Drosophila melanogaster: one gene and its partners. The protein of the gene in region 2 interacts with the protein of the main gene of each other region in a pairwise test. Each region holds a gene or a part of one and is shown on either strand. Other genes may lie near its edges. The genes, in order: azot, Fer3HCH, Crk and Urm1.

Region 1 (4,595 bases), on a different chromosome or scaffold from region 2:
GCGCATTCAAATTTATAAACCTTTCCCCCTTACAAATTATTAGTCACTAGTCACTTGACAATATTTTATTGCCAAGGTGGGCTTTTATAATTGCCGAATGAGTCATGGACAATGTATGTTGTATGCGTATTAAGGGTGCCAATAGATAACAAGGTAATTTAAAAAGAGCAAGGTGCGATAAGACTTGAACCCAAAATCATGCCACTTGTAAACTTGGTCAGACAAAAAGGAAACCAGCGAGTCCAGTCCAGTCCAGCACATGGTCAAATATTTAAATTGGCATCGTAATCAGCGTGGCTCGATTTTATGATTGCTCTGGCCCATCGCCATCACCCTTTCGAATATCCTGGCACTCCCCAGCGGCCATTAGGCACATGCGACCGTTTCGGAGTCACGCGCCGTGCCACATGGACACACACAAGTGGACTTCTTCGGACAAGGTTTAACAGCCGACTTTCTGGCGCTGCGTTGAGTAAGCCAAAGGAATTTGGTTGGGAATTTCAAGTGGTGCCGCCTAGGCGTAGGGAAAACGCGACTGGGTTGGGCTCTTTCGAAAGGGGTTCGTGGTTAATTTGTGCCTTCAATTTGGAATTCCTAGCTTCGCATGGCGGTAACAAATTCGTTGAAGGAGATCTTTCCATCTTTGTCCTGATCAATGTCCTGGAACAACTCGCGCAAGTCCTCTTCGGACATCTTCTCGCCCAGGTTGGTCATCACCATTCTGATCTCGTTAATTGTAAAGCTGTTCACTTCGCTGCGATCGAAGATTTTGAAGGCCTGCTTTAGGCACACCAGACTGTTCTGCTCCTCCAGCCGTTTGCTCATCACGTATAGAAAGTCCTTGAACTGCACCTGCCCACCGAAGTCGGCGTTACTTTCGTTGGCCAGGTCGTAGATCTCCGCCTCGGTGAGACTCTCTCCAAGGGCCCGCATTACTCCGCCGAGCTGTTGGACGGAAACCCATCCGGACCGTTCCTTGTCATACAAACTGAATGCTTCTCGAATTTCTTCAATCTGGGCCTCGGTCAAACTGCCGCTCATTGTTTCCAAAGTGATTTTCTTTTTTTTTTTTTTTTTTGTAGTGGACTAATGTTTCATGTGCTTTTGTCAGTGTGAACATAAAGAATTTAAACTGAACACAGACAGAACGCCGACTTTTTGTTGGATAGAAATCAAGCCAGCCTTCTATACGAGTACTCACATGGAGGCTATCGCATTGTCATCATGTTGACGAACTCCTCGTAATTCAAGTGATTGTCCTGATCCAAGTCGTACTCGCGTATCATTTCTTCCAACTCGTCGTCGCTGAGCTTTACGCCCAGCGCGGTGAACACATTTTTTAGCTCGGTGGTGGTAATGTAGCCATTGTTATCCTTGTCGAAAATTCGGAAAGCTTCGCGCAGCTCGTCCTCATGGTTGGTGTCGCGCATCTTGCGCAGAATCACATTGCAGAACTCCGGAGCCACGATGGATCCGTTTCCCTCCGAATCCACCTCATTGATCATGGACTGAACCTCGGCGTCGTTGGGCTGGCGACCCAGGGCGCGAATCACCACCGCCATCTCTTTAGATGTTATGGCGCCCTCGTTGTCCTTGTCCAAAATACGGAAAGTGTCAAGGATCAGGACTCGCTCCTCATGCGAAATATCCTCCATCTTAACTGGTATATTATAGTTTCTCGGAAGAGTTGTATATTGCTCTGTTTATATGTAGGTGTCAACTGATGTTTGGATGAAACAAGGTCCTGACATTGAACTCAGTGAAATGTGAAAAATGGTAAAATGAACATCCCCCGGTGGCTTCACTGCGCTGCACAGTGCACAACACCGAATGGCACAAAATCAATATGCTCGTTATATAAGCGCAGTGCCGCACGGACAGAGTTGATTGATTCGAATGTCCTTGGGCGAGGAGGCCTTGCAGCTGATCGGTTTCAATTGCGACCCAGCAACGGACGTCAGCTAGTATCTTTCGTTGTTCGTTAACAAAACAGAAGGAGAGTGCCGTTCGAGGAAAGTTAAGGAGTAAGAATGTGTACAATCACCGTCATTGTTCCAACGCACACTCAAGAAAAAAAAGGCTCATCTTTTCGCTATTCGAAATACAAGAACTCAACAGAAGTTTGCAACGCCAAAATATTTGTGTAGAATGAAAACAACATTAGTGAACTTTTATAGTTCCCGAGATCTCGACGTTCATACGGACGGACAGGCAGACGGAAGGACAGACGGGCTTATCCAGATCGACTAGTGATCTGGATGAATAACTCCTTTAGCTTCACGAGTAACTGGTATAAAAATGTAAATGTAAGATTTTGTTCTTGATTGCTTAAACTTATTCGTAAGTTTTGCTATACATTAAATAATCTATCTATGAATCAGCATACCATACTATTCATACTTAACAAGAGTGTTTTGAGTGTACTGCCATACAAGTGTAGTGGTTGCTATCGGCACAGAAAGGTTGTCATGCGATTTGGGTTTGGCGCCTAGCCTGCAACTTTGGCGGCTGCCTTTTTGCCGCAGGTTAATTCCAGTGCTTCTCCCCCTCGGCCCTTTCACCTGACCGCAGTGGGACACACCTGACACCGGTTTTTGGCTGCCGGAGGAGTGGTAGTGCCCGGGGGGGTGGGCAGAGAATGCGGCACGCTTTACTCTGGCCACAGTCTAAGCAAATAATAGACAAGAATTTGACATCGGCACGAGAGGGTTCCATTGTGCGGCTCATTTGATTTTTGGTTGTGTTTGGGTATTTGTTTGGGCTAGTTTCGGCGAAACAGAGGAAGTGTGCTAGAGGGCCATAATGGAAACATATCTCACATGTGTGTTTCGGAATTGTTCCTATGACGAGGCAAATTCTGGCCATATTTTTTGACCATTAACGCCGCCTGGCCCGACATAAATAATTTTCTAAGAGTGGGGTTCGGGAACCGTATGTCAAAACTTAAATAATAAATCTCTTGTTTATTTCTTGGATAAACCAAAAATATTCATTTATTGCAAATTTAATTTTTTTTCTTGCAGGAAAACCTCCGCGTTGGCTTGGAACGCAAAAAGCTCGAAATAGACCCAAAGTATTTGCTTCTTCTGGGCTTCACCTCGTCAAATGAAGCTACAGGCCAACAGCAGCAGCTGGATCAGCAAAATGTGGTGGACATCGGTTCACCAGGTCAGCAACTGCCAAAGACAGATTTTTCAGCGCCGGCTACAAAAGCGGAACTGGAGCTCAGCGAACTGCGAGGTCTGCGGCGTCCACAGGATGCTGTTACCTTCGGTAGTCAGGCAGGAGATCAAAAGGGGCAGCGGAAGCGGATCACGACGCCGTACAACGGTACAAAGAGCAACTTCACAATCGTCAGCTATGTGCTGGAGGGGCAGGCCGCATCGGCCATCCTGCTGGCCCAGAATATTGCCGCCAAGCTTCCCAGCGAGTACCTGCTAATCTACGATTTGGGCGTTTCCGAGGAGCAACTACGGGATTTGGGCGCCTACTGTAATAACAGCCGATGCTCGGTGATCACCTATGATCTGTCGGAGTTTCCCTCCTTCGTCGCCGATCAGCGGACGCACGCCTACCGGCCCATTGTAATTAAGGACGGTCTTATGCGTGCCCGATCGGTTCTCTTCTTGGAAAACAGCATGCGCGTGCGCGGAGGTTCCGCCCAGCTGCGAAGTCTGCAGAGCATCGTTATGAATCCAGGAGTGGGAAAATCTGCAGTCAAGTCCGCTGGAGTGCTCGGATGGAACACAGCGACGGCGGTATCCTCTCTGACGCATCCAAAAATGTTCGACTACTTTGAGTCGAAAGCTGAGGAGTTTAACTTTCTTCGGATGGTCGACCTGGATGCTGTCTTCTTCTCGGACAGCTCCTTGGTGGCCGAGAAGATCATGCTTCCCTGGCTGAAGTGCTGCCTCACCCTCGAGTGCATCGATCCGATCGGTGAGTCGGGTGGGATGGGTGGTGGTGGTGGTGGTGGCGTCATAGGGATATGTAAAACTGTCATTAGAAATGTTCCTCAGTCACTGCCTGACGCCAATATAAATCAATCAAACGTACGTTCAAACCTCCAACCCCCAAGCTCTCCTTCGGGGCTAGGCTCGTGTACTAATAACTGTCATTTGCACGGCATTCCGTTGATGGCACTCACATCGGGGAAATTTATGTAATTACCACCTGAATTGGGATTGATGGCAAAAGTGACATTGCCTTTCTTAACGAACAATTCATTTTTATTCGACCGGCATTTCCCAAACTAAGTAGTCAACAATACTCACTTTTTGGCTGGTTATTACATATAATGCTTACCAAGCATAGGTGAATTTTTAATAGAAATAAGCTTTCATTTCCTTGAATTCATCTGAAATGAACTCTGTGTTCACTTCCTGGCACTCCTGGCGAATTAAACACAGAGCTCATTTTTAATTGATGAATCCAAAGAAAGAAAATGCTTCTTTTCCAATTTCATTCATTTTCTCGCGCATGTTATATGCAGTCAAATGCTCATTTCTGTATCTTCATTGATTGACTAGATTCAGATACTTTATAGTCGACAAATTTTCGGTTAAGGATCAAAGGTATTTGGAAATATTCCATTC
Region 2 (5,110 bases):
AAACTGAACATTCTGCAAGTTTTTACTGATTGATTTTAGTTTTAAGCTTGACTTGATTCATTAACTCAGCCATTCAATTTAAGTGATCAATTAGTTGTTGAACTGCCGGTACCATTATAAATGATTCAATTGCTACACTATTTAATTGCAATTGAATTATTTAATCATTTTATTCTATTAGATGCTCTCAAAACGAGTTTAGTACGCAATTTTGTTGTTCTATCAGATATTTTCCTATTACTTTGGCAATGTATCTTTTTGCAACAAATTACTTTCGGCTTACAAGTTCTTATTTACAATTGAAATTTTGTCATTCGATTGAAGACGTCACGGAATCGCATTGAAAATCAATTATTTAAATTAACAACGGATCGGCTATTGGTTACCCCACGGTAATTGTTTCAATTATCAATCGAATCGCAAGTGGCTTTTAATTACACGTTCGTTGTTTTTATAGCACAAATGAACGGCTCTCAGGGTGTATCGATAACTCGAGTAATGTCTAACAGCATTACCTCCACTCAAAATTGATGTGATTTAGTAACTAAAAAGACGATATAATAATACACATGCTATCCACATAAGTGTACAAGGGTGTAACTTAAGACTCAATTCAAAATTAAACGATTTATAATGCAAGTCATTAAGATCTTTAAGATCTAAACTAGGGCTTATATTGATAGATCTAAAAGGCGACACCTTTGCATCGTCACAAGTGACATACAGAGACATATGTTATGGCATACGGATCAGGTACATATATACAGATATATATATATATAGCATATGGGCAGCTGGCAATCTCGTCTCTCTAGGCTTTTCACATTTCCAGCTGCAAATTGTATTGGATTGGACAGAAATCTTAATTGGGACAAGTACGCCGTCGACCAGACACCGAGTTTTTCTAACGCCCGCCCGCCGGGGGAGGATTACTACTACTACAGATCATCTCGTCTGGTCTGGTCTAGTCCGCAGCTTATGGCAATTTATTGGGGCCGCATCTGTATCGCACTGTATGTATGTACAGTCTGCCTTCGTATAAATGCCTCCGAACCTCAGACTTTAGACCGGAAATGCGACGCGCTTTTCAATTAAAGCCCCGCCAAGATCTTACCATTCAGTTCAGCATTCAGTTCTGAATGAACGATCCCTACGATCTGGATGAGTTTGTTGGTCAATGTGGGAATGCCCCCACAAACTTCCAGAGGGGTTCATGATTTCGGAAATTAGATCAGGGAAAATTTAATTTGATTTAGAACGAAGTTTCGCAATTCTGTACTTATTTCATATTATATTCTATGTAACTAAATGAATGAGTTACTATATTTGTCGTGTCTTGCCGACTTTCACGATCTCAATCTATATAGATATAGATAACCTATTAATACGTCACAAATGCTTATCATATAGACCAACTGCTTCATCATCAAGTTCCAAGTGTTTTATTATATAATGGGTAGAACAAGCGTAGTTAAATGTCAGGCTTCTTTTAACTTTTATCTTTATAGATTCGAGATTATCAACTGTTATCATATATATAACAGAAATATTGTGTCATTTGATTAGAAACGTATTTACAGAACTGGATAAAGCAGATGAGTTACTATCCAATACCATCAACACTGTGGTCCAACTAAAGGGTTATCAGATGGGTTTAGCTGTTGATTTCGTGAAGCTTTGTTTTTGGACTCAGTTTCGGTGTCGATTTCAATTAGAATCTTGCGCAACTCTTGGAGCCGATAAGCGAGTATATTTATAGAGTTAGTTTTACGCCAGCCACTTGATAATGTGGCAGCAAAAAAAAAAAAAAAAAAACAATTGATCGGCCAAAAAACGAATCTTTACTGAACACACATGGGTTTGCCAATTATAATACGTATTCTTCATCGGATGGTTGTCCATTTTGAGGTATTCATTTCGCAGGATGCATGCCGCTGCCCATATACTTGTCGAACAGGAATTCGCCCACCTGGTTTTGTGCCTTCTCCAATTGGCTAATATAGTCGGCCAGAATCTTCTGGCCATCCACTTGCTCCTGCAGGAAATTGGCCTCGATGAAATCGCAGAGATTCGGATCCGCTTCCTTGCCAGCCAGGGCGTGCAAATCGAGCAGATGCTTATTGACCTCCAGTTCCATTTTCATTGCGTGCTTTAGTGCATCCAAGGTGCTGGCGAAACAGGGCAACGGCTGTGGTACACTGCTCAAAATGATTAGACCACCACGCTTGTTCATGTACGTCATGATCTTCTCCGCGTGCTCCCGCTCCTCGACGCTCGCCTTTAGGAAGAATCGATGCATTCCGGGTGAACTGATATCGGAGCGATCGAAATGGTAGGCCTACGTGTATTGAACGTACTATATGCATATATATATATTCCCTATTGACTGCGGAACCTTACCATGGCCAGATACTGGTGGGATGCCTTCAACTCCATGTTGATCTGATCGTTTAGCTTCTTCTCGCAACTTTTGGCGAAGTTCTGACGCACCAGCATGCACATGTGGCGCCGAATGTCGCGGAAGCACCACGCCATGTCTTTTGCTTCTTTTTGAGTTTTTTTCTATCTTTTTTTTTTTTTTTTGTTTTTGAAAATTTAGAAACCTATACAATTTGGAATTGAAAGTCAAAACACAAACAGTGTGTCTAAAAGGCAACTGGGTCGGTTCGGACAGGTGTCGATGGATCGGATACGATCCATCTAAGTTCGTCCATTGATCTCATCTCCAAATATCCAGATCTTCACATCTCCGCATCGATCTCCGATCTCGCGATCTGGAGGAGGTGTTGATCCACCGTTCGGACGGCCAAAAAACAACGGGTTGGAGTTCAAAGTGCTGCCGGCTCTGATTTCACTTAACTTCCACTTAGCAATAGTGTGTACACAATCTCTCACTCGGTTTGTTCGCATCTATATACGTTCGTACGTATAGCTTATAGATACAGATACATATGTATATATGTACATATATAGTTAAATATCTGTGTCCAGATATGTTTGCTTTAACTTCAACAAGTACACACGAACACGGACACACTAAGTAAACGCAGTTATTGTCTTTTATTAAGTGAATGGAAGACGACTTTTGTCCGAGTTTTGTATAATCGTGTTATACCCTTTCTCATAGGGTATTTGAACGCTTTTCCCAAAATATTGCTGATACAGAAAATTGCGACAGCCAATGCAAGTTAAAATAAGAAATTTAATTTATTAAAGGATAGAAAACATAATATTATATTTTGTATTTCAAATGAAATGCTTTCGTAGGCGAGTTCAACGCGTCTTACAGGTTTAGGGTATTGAAAATGTAAAGATCTCCCAAGCCGAGGTTTCCAAACATTTCCTATAAACATCCAGGTGGTCAAAACTACTCGCACTTTACTACAAACATCCACTCATTACGCACATTTAAAAAACCAACAAAGCAATGGTGACTCTTGAAGCCATGTGCGCCCCATAAAAAGGCAATAATAAAGATATAAATGGTTCATTTTCACCGACACACAGGAAAACGAACCGAGAAAAAAAACACATAGGAGTTATGCAAATCATCGTTGAACTGGACAATAACAACCCAAATAAAAAATAGCAAACATTTTTAGATGAGTCTTTACGTTTTTTTTTTTCAAGCATTATGAAACAATTTTCCCTATGATTGTGATTAAATAATATATACACTTATTAAGTGAACGATGACATATGATCTTGTGTGTTTATAGAGGCAATTAACATGTTTAGTTCATTATGCAACAGTCGCAATAAAAATGAAAATTATTATCTTATTCAATATTTAAGGGTCAAATGGAAAGGCTTTTGAACACAGAAAAATTTCTAGAATTTTGTAGAAGATTTTACAGGCATTAAAGTTCTATAATTACTTAAGCATATTGAATTTCAACAAAATCCACATCGGAACTCAGTTAAATTTCAAATTCCACTCCCGTAATGCCAACAAGATTTTAATTTGGACAAGTGTGACAGCTTCAGCGACACATTTACATCACCTCCAAAATAATGGCAACAATCCAGTTTGCAGTGTCATAAAAACGTGCAACAAATTATTAACATTAAATTAAGCTGCGGAGTCACAAAAAAATTTTTATATACATTCGACGTGTTAACACAAAACTCAAACGTCAGCATATGAGGTAAAAAAAAAAAAACAAAATCCAACATAATTTGCTGAACATGAGGTCGAAAATAGCGTACGGCATACGAAAATATTTAATCGATTTGAGCTATTGTCGGCATGATACTCTTTCAAAGAGCATACAAACTTGTTCCAAAAATTAAACTATATATTAAAAAAATATTCAATTGTATGTATATAATTAAGTGTTATAAATGTGTACCATCTTAATTTTGGTATAAATATAAGCTGCTAAAATATCTATTACATCTTAAGGGGTATTCCCGTCTCGACTATTTCAGAATATCACGTATTTCTTTGCGCACATTGTTCAATTCAATAAATTGTGGCTTCGATCGCCGTCGCCAACATACGAATAATTTACAATACATACGAACGGTGTATCAGTTAACATTCATTTACTTTTGCTGCTGGTCATAATTTCCAATGCGTTTATTTATTTAAATTTTAATTTACAAGCACCCGATCGTCTGGAATTTACAGTCAGTCGCAGTGCATGCAAAACTGTGAAATACGATCGTTAAACGGGGAAATGAGTGCGGGAAAATTTGAGAACTTTCCACAAGGCATAAGACTAGTGTAAATAAAATTCAAAGGGTTGGCGGAACAATTCAAATCGAAGTAATATATATGTACATAAAAACTGTTCGAAAATCAATGCAAAATCGAATTGGTCATTTATAGGCATTGTGGAATGGGTCATTGCACTTTAAGCAACATGTGAAACAAATGTTCGGTGCTAATTACAGTGACCGCTTGGAAAGTATAACTTGTTGATTGGGCGGTTTCTAAGGGGAAACTAGAAGTCTCATTATGGGGAACACGTGTTGTGCCCAGGAAGTGAAGAGGTTTTCATTTTGGATCTAATCCTTCGAATATCCATACGTTCTAGTTTTTAGTATTGCATGTTGCTTGAATGCTGCATCTGGAACAAAACGTATGTTTTCAGAGAGATCTGAA
Region 3 (6,899 bases), on a different chromosome or scaffold from region 2:
TCAAAGTTGTTGAATTGTTGAGTAACAAGTTTGTGATTAATTTATTTTTCAAGATACACTTAAGTAAAAGTATTTTAATGTCCAAAAAACTCACGGGATTTGTACTGCTTGTGAGGACTTGGCCGCAGAACACACTTCACCTCGTATATTCCATGTGCATGGATTATATAAATGCATGTGATATTCACACATTCATGCGGTTAAAAAAACTTACTCTGCCTCCTCACCGACACTATTGGTAATAAAAAATAACGTAAGTTATTTTAACATTTAATAAAGATTTTAACACTAAAAACAAGAGAGAATTCTTTTTTGCTAGTTCTTCGGCTATATATACCCGATATTGAAGACTACTAAAGATTACAAGGCCAATTGAAAGTAGAACAAAAAATCTAAAAAAATTTTAAACATGTGGGCGTTACAGCTTTTGGCGGATTGAGTTTGCGTGGTAACGTGTCGAGCATTTTTATACCCGTTAAAGGGTATACTAGATTTGTTGAAAAGTATGTAACAGGCAAAAACGCTTCCGACCTCAAAAAGTATATATATTCTTGATCAGGATCAATAGCCGAGTCGATCTGACTATGTCTGTCTGTCCGTATGAACACCTCGAATTCTGGACTATTAAAGCTAAAATGTTGAGATGAAGCATACAGATTCTAGGAACATAGACAGCACAAGTTTGTTGACCCATGTTGCCATTCCTGATCAGGATCAATAGCCGAGACGATCTGGTCATGTCCGTCTGTCCGTATGAACGTCACGATTACAGGAACTATAAAAGCTAGAAGGATGAGATTCAGCATACAGAATCTAGAAAAGACGCAGCGCAGCGTTGACCCATGTTGCCACGCCCACTCTAACGCCTACAAACCGCGCAAAACTGCCACGCCCGCACTTTTGAAAAAGTGTGTTGATATTCTTTAAATATTTTGATTAGTCTTGTAATTTTCTATCGATTTCCCAAAAAACTTTTTGCCACGGCCACTCTAACGCCCTTCAGCCGCCCAAAAATGCTTTGTCGCCCGTTATCAACGTGGTAGCTAGTGGTTTGCTTAGGACCTCTCGTGTTTAGAAGCATTCTCGGCAGAGAACCAGTAGTAGCGCTGGCCTTTTTGTGGGCGTACTCTAGGTGCTCTCGGAACGTGGTATCAGGAGAAGCACTAACTAACTATTGATCTAAAGATACACATTATTTTAACGTTCCAGGAAGATAGGTCTTGCGTGATAATCCACACGAACGACATGAATGAAATCATATGATGCTGCAAAGTATATGTCATAGTTTTAATACTGCGTTGGTGATGCGTCGGTGATTAAGGATTCGACGTCAAATTAGTTTGGGCAGCTTGTAGAGTTGGTGCCTTAGAGGTAGGTTCTGTTAGCCTCGAATTATGGACGTTTGGAAATATCAAATTTTGGAAGGTGGTCGAAGGGCCAAATAAGGACCTCTTTGCGGGTGATAAAAAAACTTCTGGCGTTCTGGCGTTACTCGGAGATGTATCCGGCTTTTGGGGTCTTTGTATATTGAACAGCCTTTATATGGTCAGAAGCGCTTTCTTCCACCTGTTACATACTTTTCAACGAACCTATTGTAGTATTCCCTTTTACTCTACGAGTAACGGGTATAAAAAATATAAGGCCCAAAGGGTTTTCTGTAGCACCTACCGTTTAGTTACACAATTCATAAAAAAAACCAAATCGATTTTCAAATTCATAATTTTTTTGTATAAGAATCATACGAAAAAACGGTAAAAATTTTATTATGTCCTTCGTACCCGTTTATTTTTATTTTACTTAATAAGATTTTAATTTTCTGATTATGTTAACAATTGGTATGCACAACTTATTAATCATACAATTAGCTCAAAAATCAAAATTATCAAAAGAAATTCCTTCCATTCCTTCCTATTTAGCATATTTCTGTGGAGTTTTTGCTTAAATCACAATCATCGACAAATTCAACGTGCGTGAAGGGAAAATGACCATTTTTTCCATTTAATTCTCCCTCCCATTGCCCATTAATGTTTGTTTTAGTGACTTTAATAATGTCACCTATTTCCAATTTTAATGCAGTCTTATCGTATGCGTTAGGGACCCTTGACTGTTTTACGCGGGCGTATGCAGGTAGTTTTCGCTTCGATAAATTAAAATGTAAAACATTATTTTTTTTTTAAATACTTTTTTGGAACACTTACATTTAAATCTGTCCTTTTAAGAGTACTTTCAAATACATTGCTAGATCCCGAAATGGAAGGTTCGTTTTTATCAATAGCATCTTCATCCATATAATCGTCATACTGAAAAGAACAAATTTGAAAATGATTTAACTTTTAAAAATCAATGCCTTTAACAAACTTATTTATCAAAGGTCGTTCGCAATTTGGCCTTCTCTATTTAAGCGGACGAATATATTGAAGGCAATGGAGCTTGTCCATTGTCAGTTTAATTCAATGCAAATGGTTTTTGTAATGGATTTTATAATGTATTGAGATTGTAGTCAGACTTTAAAGAATCTAATCGCAACAATTTAAGGGTATTATTACATGAACTCAATAATTATTTCTGAACAAGTTTCTCGGCTATCAGATACCCGCTAGTCATAAAATAGGCGTGGGGAAAAGAGCTCAATTTACATTTTTTACATACATACATATATTTTTACATATTTACTTCTGGCGACTCTTTGACATTATTGACCCTTATACGTCTCACTAGTTTTCGGGTTTCTTTCTGATTTTACATTATTAATATCCTAGCGTTAGTGTCGCCGTATCGAAAGTTTTATTTGCATTCCATAAAAATTGACGCGACTGGTTTTACCGAATTCACCATTCATTTCAAGTGTAGTATTTTAACATCAGCGTTATAAGGAAACAAAGAAATTAAAAACGGGTTACCCGTTACAAAAAAGGATAACAAATCCAAATATTTGCTTAACGCACCTGTTGTATATAGGGAACCGGTATTTGACCAATTTTCCCCGAGGAGTTACGCGCAGTCCACCATTGATCCTCGTCTTTTCGAACTATTGTTAAAACTTCACCTCTTTGAAAAGGTAAATCATCTTGATCCTTTGATAAATAAGAAAATTAAATTACTTACAAAAATGAATAATTGTGTAAATGCTCACGCTGCCAACGAAATCGAACTTTCCTATTACTTTTTCCACCCTTCTACACGCAGGCCGTTTTAAAGGGGTTGTATCCAAATAATGAAGAGTGTAAAAAGTTAAGAGTTTCGGTAGATTGTCAAAAGACTGATCCCCAATGCGGTAAACGATTTGATCCTGTTGTTGAACTTTGTTAATGATGTAGTTGCTAACTTTTGTATCTTCTCTAAATAATAAAAATCTTTATAAGTAAACAATTCTTTTATAACAGGCGCAAAATCCTTAAAAACTAAACAAAAATTTGTTTCAAGTTTAAATATGAAAACCTATTTTTAATATTCTAATGTATATACATTTATATTAATAAAGAACTTTTAAAATCAAAAAGAATATTCTTGAGACGTTTATTCATCTAATTCTTTAATAAATGCCGCGTGGCGAGACATACAGTAGAAATTGAGTTCCTTTAATTCGTAATTATTTTTGTTTACGTCGTTAAATTCTTCAATTTATTTACCCCGTCAATACATGGCGCACATATTAAAAACATACTAAATTGCAATGGCTATGAGAGATCATCATTGACATTTTATCATCGTCCTTAAAGGTACATTCCATACTAAATTAAAGAAATACAAAATTGACCATAGACCCTTGCCATTGGATCTAAATATCAAACAAAACAAGAGAGAACCCGTTACTCAGCTAGTTGAATGGGAAAGAGAAATTTCAAAAATTTTCTGGGAAAGAAATAATAAAACAAACACAATTTTTAAGGTTTCCCAAAACTGAAACACACAAAATTGATAAAAATTTTTAGATTTCTCTTTCTTATTACTTTTTTCACCCAGGTCTATTAAAAAGAATATCCTTTTTTAATGTAAGAAATTTGTTTATATTTAAAAATTACAGATAAATGTTTAAAGTACATCTATAAAACACGTATACATGCTTAAAATGGAAACAGGAATTTCTATATAAACCTTTATGGTAAGCTGCGATTAAGAAAGGCTGACATTAAGTATTTCTCACTATACACAATTTTTAGTTTAATTTTTAAAATAAAAATTAGCTAACAGAAATGAAACGATAAGTACACAATCAAAGTCTGAATGTATTAATTTTGTTTACTTACCTTACACAAAGTACATAATCCCCTGCTATCGAGTTACTATCACGGACTAAAAACACTCCCCGCTCGCGTTCGTTCATCAAAACTTCAGTAGCATCCTGTCTAGACATGGGACCAAAGTACCAGCTTTAAGAACACATTTTGATGTTAAAACAATTGATAGTTTTTGGTTTAATCTTCACTTGATCTTAAATTACCTGTTCCTATCAGAAACGTCAAATGTATCCATTTCCGTTTAAGGTTTATCTTAGACAAATTACAACAAATTCCGTCCAGATTAAATAAATAGAAATTATGTGATATAATGCAAATATAGCATACAGCCTATTATATACCAGAATTCTTCAGTGATTTCATTTTCGAATTTCTGGCCTTAAAACATTTGCCTTTTATATGTGTATCTGGCTGGGCCACACATAGAAACACTATCGATAATGTTTGATCGATTATTTCCACTTGGAAGTTTTATGCCAATATTGTACCGTAGAACCGTAATGCGGCACTTGCACAGGGCACATTCGATTGAAAAGAACTCCTTCGAGCAACTGCTCTGTGGTGGTAAACCCCTTTAGGACGTACTGTCAGCTTTTAAAATCTAAATGTAAAACCGTGATCAATGCATATCAATTTGATATTCTAATTTTTAAGTAAAACCGATATATTTGTTCTTCTGTTCAATTCAAGGATATTTACAGGAATATTAGGAATACGAATATATCTGGTTGACATGTTATTTTGACTCCACAACTGATCAGCTGTCAATCGTAGAAAATCCGCATATGTTGCTAAGATCGGCAGCTAAATAAGATTTGGAGCAATCCGATCAATCCGCTGTGGAGGGAGCCCACCCTGGGATTGCTAAAGATTCCGAATTGTCTGCACTGGTTTCTTAACCAGTGATTCTACCTGTCCCGATTAGTTTACCACCACAAGGGAACATTGAGTCCGGACTCCCGGCACAAGTTGGCACTTCAGAAATACAATCTGCAGGGCCAAAACCACTCGCGGTGATTCCACTTAAGAAACAAACTTTCGTTTCTCGGTTTTCACCTGATCAAAAATCATCTGATGTATGGTCTTATATGCAAGACAAAACAAAAGTCGATAATATAAAAGTAATATAAAAGTGGAAAAATTTAACTTATCTTACGCTATGGACATAAGATATATAAGATTTTGAAGCTAGGATCAAAAATAGGAAAAAGGGGCCCGTGGGAAATAAACTTTCCTCACATGGCCAGACCACTGCACCATCCGCCTCTTCATCTTCTTCAAAAAACTGACAACGAATCTTTGTCCGAATCTTTTTCCTATCAAAATGCTAGAGGTTTGCGTAGCATACTAATCAAATTATATTGTAATAGCCATTCCTTTGCATGCTCAAGATATGACCAAAGCAAAGACACTAGAATAATTCTAGTGTCTATGATATGACTTTTGCAATAAACAGTTTACATATTTTTTTTATTTTTATATATTTTTGTTTTCTACTTCGTATTATTTTTATGAAATATTTATTTCTCAATGTAATGTCTTCTTTTTGGAAAATGTATGTTTTAAATTAAAGTTGTTATAATAATTTCCGTATATATTTAGTATATTTCTCAAGTCATTTGACTTAATATGATGTATGTAAAATTTTTGTTATTTAAAATGCACATTAGATTTAGTTGTTTTTCAGTTCCAGTTTTTTTTTTTTTTTTTTTTTTTGTTATATTTCAATTTGATATTTTTAACAGCGCGCAATTTCATCAAATATGTAAACTCGTTTCTTCGGTCAGAATTGATTTCGGCCCGAAATCGTCTTCTAGAACAACACGCACACATATACGCGTTCTCGTCTCTTGTTTTTACTTACTCAAGCAAGCAAGTTCTATTTTAAGATTTCTTACGCTCTCAGCGTAAGCTAGCGGACAGAGAGCAATTTTGGCCGTCACCAAAAAAGTGGCTGCATAGTGCCAAACCAAAGACACTAGAATAACAAGATGCGTAACGGCCATACATTGGTTTGGCACTATGCAGCCACTTTTTTGGTGACGGCCAAAATTACTCTCTTTCGGCTCACTCCCGCTGAGAGCGTAAGAAATCTAAAAATATAATTTGCTTGCTTGTGTGAGTAAAAACAAGAGACGAGAACGCGTATAAGTGTGCGTGTTGTGCTAGAAGACGATTTTCGGGCCGAAATCAATTCTGATCGAAGAAACGAATTTACATGGTACATATTAGGGTAGTTTTTGCCAATTTCCTAGCAATATGATAAAATAAAAAAATTTTTAAAAATTCGCGCCCTGAATATTATAATTTTAAAGCTTTTTAAATTTGTTTGTTAAAATCGCCGCTCGAATTAGCTACCGTTTACACATTTATATTTATGTTTAATTCTAATTTGTCTCTCATCTGACAATTTTTTAAAAGCGAAATATTTTTTTTGAAACACTTTTAATGTTAATGTTACATCATATTAAGTCAAATGATTTAATAAATATACTAAATAATTAAATATGCAATTAAATTAAATTGCAAAAGTAATATCAAAGACAATAGAATTATTCTAGTGTCTTTGCTTTGTTCATATCTTGAGGCACGAAGTGCGGACACAAGCACTCAACAATTGCCTTATTAATTTTTCACACACCGCAAGATGAATACTCTAAT
Region 4 (4,933 bases), on a different chromosome or scaffold from region 2:
AAACGATCGACGACCATTGTCAGCCAACTGTCCATGGGTATAGAGCTTGAACTGTGCTACTTCTTCTAGGCCCCCAGATGCATCCCGTAGCTAGTAGTTGATCCCTGTACATAATCTCGAAGAACACCCCAGTATTACTGTATATAATCCCCCACCAACACCAACACAAACACCAAAACCTAACCCGTAATCCGTGCCTGTCCGTGTGCTGCATGTTTTTAGATCCATGTTATATGTTGTTGGCGCTTTGGCGCCACCTGTTCGAATCCGAAATATAATATCCAATATGTGTAAATATCCCCCCATTCAGAGAGCGGCATTGTCTCGGACATGTGCGTTACCCCGGATCAGGAACAATCGGCGGCGGAGAGCAGCCGAAGCAGTTGGTCCACATCAACGACTGGAGCATCCGGAGCTTCAACGACGAGTGCATCCACGGTAATCCTGCGGCGATATCGATCCTACGCCCACGCAGCGGAGTCCGCCAGTCCGGAAAGCGGCAAATAGAGGAGCTCCTGGAGCATCGCATCTAGATATAGTATAAATCCCCATTAATAGCTTTAGCAGAACGGTTTCATCGGATCCCATGTAGTATCATCGTATTACGTTCGATCGCTAATTTTATTTCATTATTTTTGTTATTTATTATTTATTACATTTTTAGTTTTCGTTAATTTGTCATAGTCGCTGCTTTTCGTTTTGCCTTGTTTATCGGAAAAATCAGTCGAAATTATTGAATTCAGCGTGTCAATGTCGAAGCAAGTTTCATACATATCTAGTTCTTAGTCCACACAATCGAACGATCCGCACCACACACACACAGAAATCGATGGGAGCCATGAGCAGCACCCGAAAAAGGGGCGTGGCCGATGCCCAACATATCTGAATCGAACTTCATTACGTACAGTTAGTTGATATGTAACCTAAGTGCCTATAGTTAAAATAATCGTAAACGAACATTAAAAAAATATATCTATACTTCATAATAACTCGATAAATAATTTTAAGCGAAAATTTAAATTCAATAAATGTTGCTTCAATGTAAAACTAACGTGTTGTCCTTACTTCGAATTACCCGCCAAACCGCATCTGGATTGTTCTATTTTTAACTTCCCTACAATTCCCAAGTGCTTGTTCAATGCTGTGCTTTTATAAATAGCGAAAACCTGCTAGCTTACAATCTCTAGATGATATGATGAAAACTTTACTACCCGAACCATCGTGTGGGCCTTTGCCTCTGGTAAAGGGACGTAATTCTGATTCAGTCAAAAACTGTTTTTGTTTGTTTTTTGAATACAATTTAATGGGTTGTAGTATAAAAATAAACTTTTCTCCTATAATTTAGATTCCAGAACGTTTTTTAACCACCGTGTAAAGTTGATATAAACAACACATTGTCGTTGGGCTGCAGCTCGTAGTCCAGTTCACCCTAGAAGTTGAGTTAATTATAGTTTTTAGAATTCCATATTCTGTACTCTTACTTACCAGCAATTCCCAGTCTGTATCATTTATGAGTACTAAAATTCCAGGTCGCCTGAAAACATACAATAGAAAGTATAGACTATGTATCCCTTATAGTTTAAGCCAAACTTACACAGTATCTCCTTGAAGAAAAAGTTCCGGACGCTCCGTTAAAATATTCGCATGCATCCACTTAAGCAGATTAGCAATAGTCCCTTTAAAATATATATAATTCATAACCGATTTCACTCAAGTTTAAAACATCTTTTAGAACATACATTTTTGTTTACCGTCCAAGTTCAATTCACGGCGTTTTATGTTACCAAATAGTAACTCCGCCCCTGCACTACGAAATTAAATTACAAATTGTCTCATTTATTGGAAATAATAATTCGAACAAGGCTTTATATACCTGAATTCTAATATGATTTTTAATTCCGGCGTGCCCATCATATGTTCGATGTAAATAAATGTGTGACCGCGTCTAAGCTTTTCAAAAAAATCCACCATTCAAAAATAATACCAAATATAGAATCCTAATTTCTAAAAAGTCTGGCAACCACATGCTCTAAACTTCCAAAAATTATTGCATTTTGAAAGAAATTATAATTTGTACGTAAATTTACCTTTACCATTCACCTTCGACGAGGGGACTCAGCATTATAATTATTCCCATTGAGAAACATAAACAGGTGGCATTCCAATGGAACGCTAGGTAAAGTTTTCATTAGCATATTATGATCTGTGCTCTAAGAAGACATTTTACATTTCGTTGTGAATTTATGAAATTAAAAAAAACACGTTATCATAAAGAGCGTTTTTTTTATTGCTTCTCCTCGCTCGTTTTCGACTTTTCAGGATTCGGAGTCAGATCCAGTTTGAAATCGATCGGTTTGTCGTAACCCATTATCTTAACATAGTGCTCGGGATCATCGAAAAGCGCTGGATCCACAAACAGAGGTCGTTTGTTGACCAGAAAAGAGGTGAACATGCCGGGAACCTCCGGAACGACCACATCATTTGGTCGGAAAGTAGTCTAAAAGGTAAATAATATGTACATTGAAGGCAAGCTCTTTTAAATTTGCTCTACCCACCTTGATTTTTTGCAGAAGCAGGGATATTGTGGTGGCCGTGTACTCCTCCGTTAGTGGATTGTAGTGCAGCTCCGTCACGTATTTCTTGGTAATAAAGTGCAGCAGCAGAGGAGTCACAAAGGTGAAGAATCCACCGACGGTGCAGAGGAATACGGCCATTCCAGTTCCTCCGATTTTCATTCCCTGCTCGAGAAGAATGGGCTGGGCGGCCAAGCCGGCTAAGCTGGTGCTCAGCGAAAAGAACTTGACCATTTTCATGCGTGGCGCAAGAGTTCCATAGTAGATCCGCTGCAGTGCATCGTCGGATTCAGTTTTCGTCGACTTCACCGAAAGCCACCTGTTTTGCTGGAAGTTCTGTGGTTGTGACTGCTGTGGTCTTGTCCATGAGGCACTAGTAATGCATCTGCAGTTGTGGGGCAGGGTAATCTGACGGCTGACATTTCCCAGGACAACAGCAAAGTGTTTCCCTTTTGGCAGCATCGCTCGCAGGCCTAACATGGTGTAATTTACTTATTTCAGTAGAAATAAACAGCTGTTTTTGCCGAACGTTAAATAACACGAGTTGCAGTGTGGCCCACACTTGGGCGCTAAAAGAATCCAGAAACGATACGTCTATTCAAAATATACCAACTCTCCTTTTGAATACCGAAACAGGAAACGGCAACATTGCACTGACAACGGAAATTTAAATCGATACTGACTATTTTTACTTATTGATACTAAAAACAAATATTAAAAATTTAAAATCCTAAAATTCTAACATTTCTAAGCTAAAATTAATTTACATTAAACCGACCAATATTACAATCTTATAAGATAAGATTCTCTTTAAAAAATACAAAAATAAAAATTAATAATAATTACACTTGTACTTACCAATTAGGAGCTGATTATTTAACACTTATACATCGATTAAAATTCACTTACACTCACGCTTAAAACGGTAGGAAAGGCGTTTGCAAATATTATTCAAAGTGTTGACCTACTTTAGGATATTGCTGCCAAAAAATTCGATTGTATTTCCCAATGATTTTCCAACCAATTCGGAACAATAGAGCTAGTAATTCGGCAAATATTGAGTACGTACTGCAGTTTGTAATTGATTAACAAGAAAAGTGAGTGGGGGAGCTTCCCGTTTGCGGTATTATGCCAAAACCAAAAACACACAAGGAAGAGTGGCATGTGGATACGAATTAATATGCTCGAATTAATGGCACTGATGTGGGGGCGTGGCAGATGTGGCTCTAGTTACCACTAGAACATGCAATTTGTCGCTGTTGGTGGTGACCGGCGCTTGACCACATTTTTAATTTATGTTGCTTTAATTGTTTAAATGGAATCGCCCACACACAGCCGTGCGCACCGAGGTTATGGTTACGCAGAGGTCTCTGGCATTTTTGTGTTTTAATTTTTTATTTTATTTTTTTTTACCCCATCAATTGTTGGGACTAGTGTGCCAAGTGCACGCCCGGCTGAGTTGCACTTTCAGTGCCATGTCCAGTTGACCAACTCATCCCAACCAATCCCAGACCAACCTCTAACCCATTTCCCAGGGTAGTACCCCTTTCGATTCCGGCAGTTGAGTGACAGGCGGGCGGAGATCTTGAAATTGCTTTAATGCAGCGGCCTCCGGTTTCATTGGGCTGCATTCAGGCGTCACTAATCAACAATTTTCAAAGTGACCAAAAATCACATTTGATTTTGAATTGCCCCAGTCATGTGGCTCCATATCTGCCTCTCTATCCATCATCCGTGCTTCTGTCTCTTTCTCGCTGGCAATCCTTTTGTTATCCGTGCCTTTTGTTGTCATTTCATTATTGTTATTTCATGCATCATATTCATTCCACGACTATGATTACACAGATAAAAATCTTTACAGGAAGTTAAATGGTTTTTAAGTAAGAAGGAGTTTAAGGCTATAACGCGAAAAGCAACATATTGGAATTCAGTGCAATCTACATATATTGCAGCATATTTTTAAGATCTAATCATTTTCTGTTACTCAAACATCTTCTTTAAGTGTATCTGCTGCTTTGCAATTGTTTGGTCAAAATTTCACATGCAGCGGGCAAAATAATTCAATGCAAAAAAAAAGGAGCGCTGATATATGAACGAAGGAGTGGCAGGGCAGGAAAAATAGCAGGAACACCATATTGCTCATTCAAATTCGCTGTGATATCAATTTATTTTTATGCTTTGTTGGCGACCTTTTTATGCCACTATCCCCAGGAGGCCACCCACTCTATCCAGCTATCTGGTCCATAAATATGCCATCATACCATTGAGATCCAGCTGCCTGATTGATGTGATTTTCAATTGCAGTTGGCAATTTGTTTAATTTGCTCATTTACCTTTTTGGTCGCGGCGCGTGTTTTAAT

The links.
Region 1: the proteins of Fer3HCH (region 2) and azot interact in a two-hybrid assay, tested with the Drosophila melanogaster proteins (one large-scale study listed by BioGRID).
Region 3: the proteins of Fer3HCH (region 2) and Crk interact in a two-hybrid assay, tested with the Drosophila melanogaster proteins (one large-scale study listed by BioGRID).
Region 4: the proteins of Fer3HCH (region 2) and Urm1 interact in a two-hybrid assay, tested with the Drosophila melanogaster proteins (one large-scale study listed by BioGRID).

The regions. Positions count from the first base shown.
Region 1 is NT_033778.4:7,946,949-7,951,543, reverse strand, and holds azot (ahuizotl), read right to left. Parts: upstream 1,706-4,595; 5' UTR 1,656-1,705; coding exon 1,209-1,655; 3' UTR 1,079-1,208; downstream 1-1,078. Other genes in the region: CG30378 (uncharacterized protein), read right to left, coding at 595-1,041; CG34431 (uncharacterized protein), read right to left, coding at 4,562-4,595; CG14764 (uncharacterized protein), read left to right, coding at 3,024-3,939.
Region 2 is NC_004354.4:13,105,562-13,110,671, forward strand, and holds Fer3HCH (ferritin 3 heavy chain homologue), read right to left. Parts: upstream 2,634-5,110; 5' UTR 2,536-2,633; coding exon 2,401-2,535; intron 2,339-2,400; coding exon 1,913-2,338; 3' UTR 1,821-1,912; downstream 1-1,820.
Region 3 is NC_004353.4:208,029-214,927, reverse strand, and holds Crk (Crk oncogene), read right to left. Parts: upstream 4,705-6,899; 5' UTR 4,566-4,704; exon of another isoform or gene 4,491-4,565; 5' UTR 4,474-4,490; coding exon 4,442-4,473; intron 4,371-4,441; coding exon 4,248-4,370; intron 3,339-4,247; coding exon 3,134-3,338; intron 3,075-3,133; coding exon 2,946-3,074; intron 2,814-2,945; coding exon of another isoform or gene 2,748-2,813; exon of another isoform or gene 2,654-2,747; intron 2,301-2,653; coding exon 2,199-2,300; intron 2,138-2,198; coding exon 1,913-2,137; 3' UTR 1,763-1,912; downstream 1-1,762. UniProt on the Drosophila melanogaster protein: Adapter protein which interacts with C-terminal portion of mbc, homolog of human DOCK180. May play a role in cellular processes throughout development.
Region 4 is NT_037436.4:7,638,531-7,643,463, forward strand, and holds Urm1 (Ubiquitin-related modifier 1), read right to left. Parts: upstream 1,917-4,933; 5' UTR 1,912-1,916; coding exon 1,874-1,911; intron 1,808-1,873; coding exon 1,740-1,807; intron 1,677-1,739; coding exon 1,595-1,676; intron 1,535-1,594; coding exon 1,486-1,534; intron 1,430-1,485; coding exon 1,361-1,429; 3' UTR 1,281-1,360; downstream 1-1,280. Other genes in the region: Pura (Puratrophin-1-like), read left to right, coding at 1-37, 311-507; CG7506 (uncharacterized protein), read right to left, coding at 2,285-2,497, 2,556-3,053.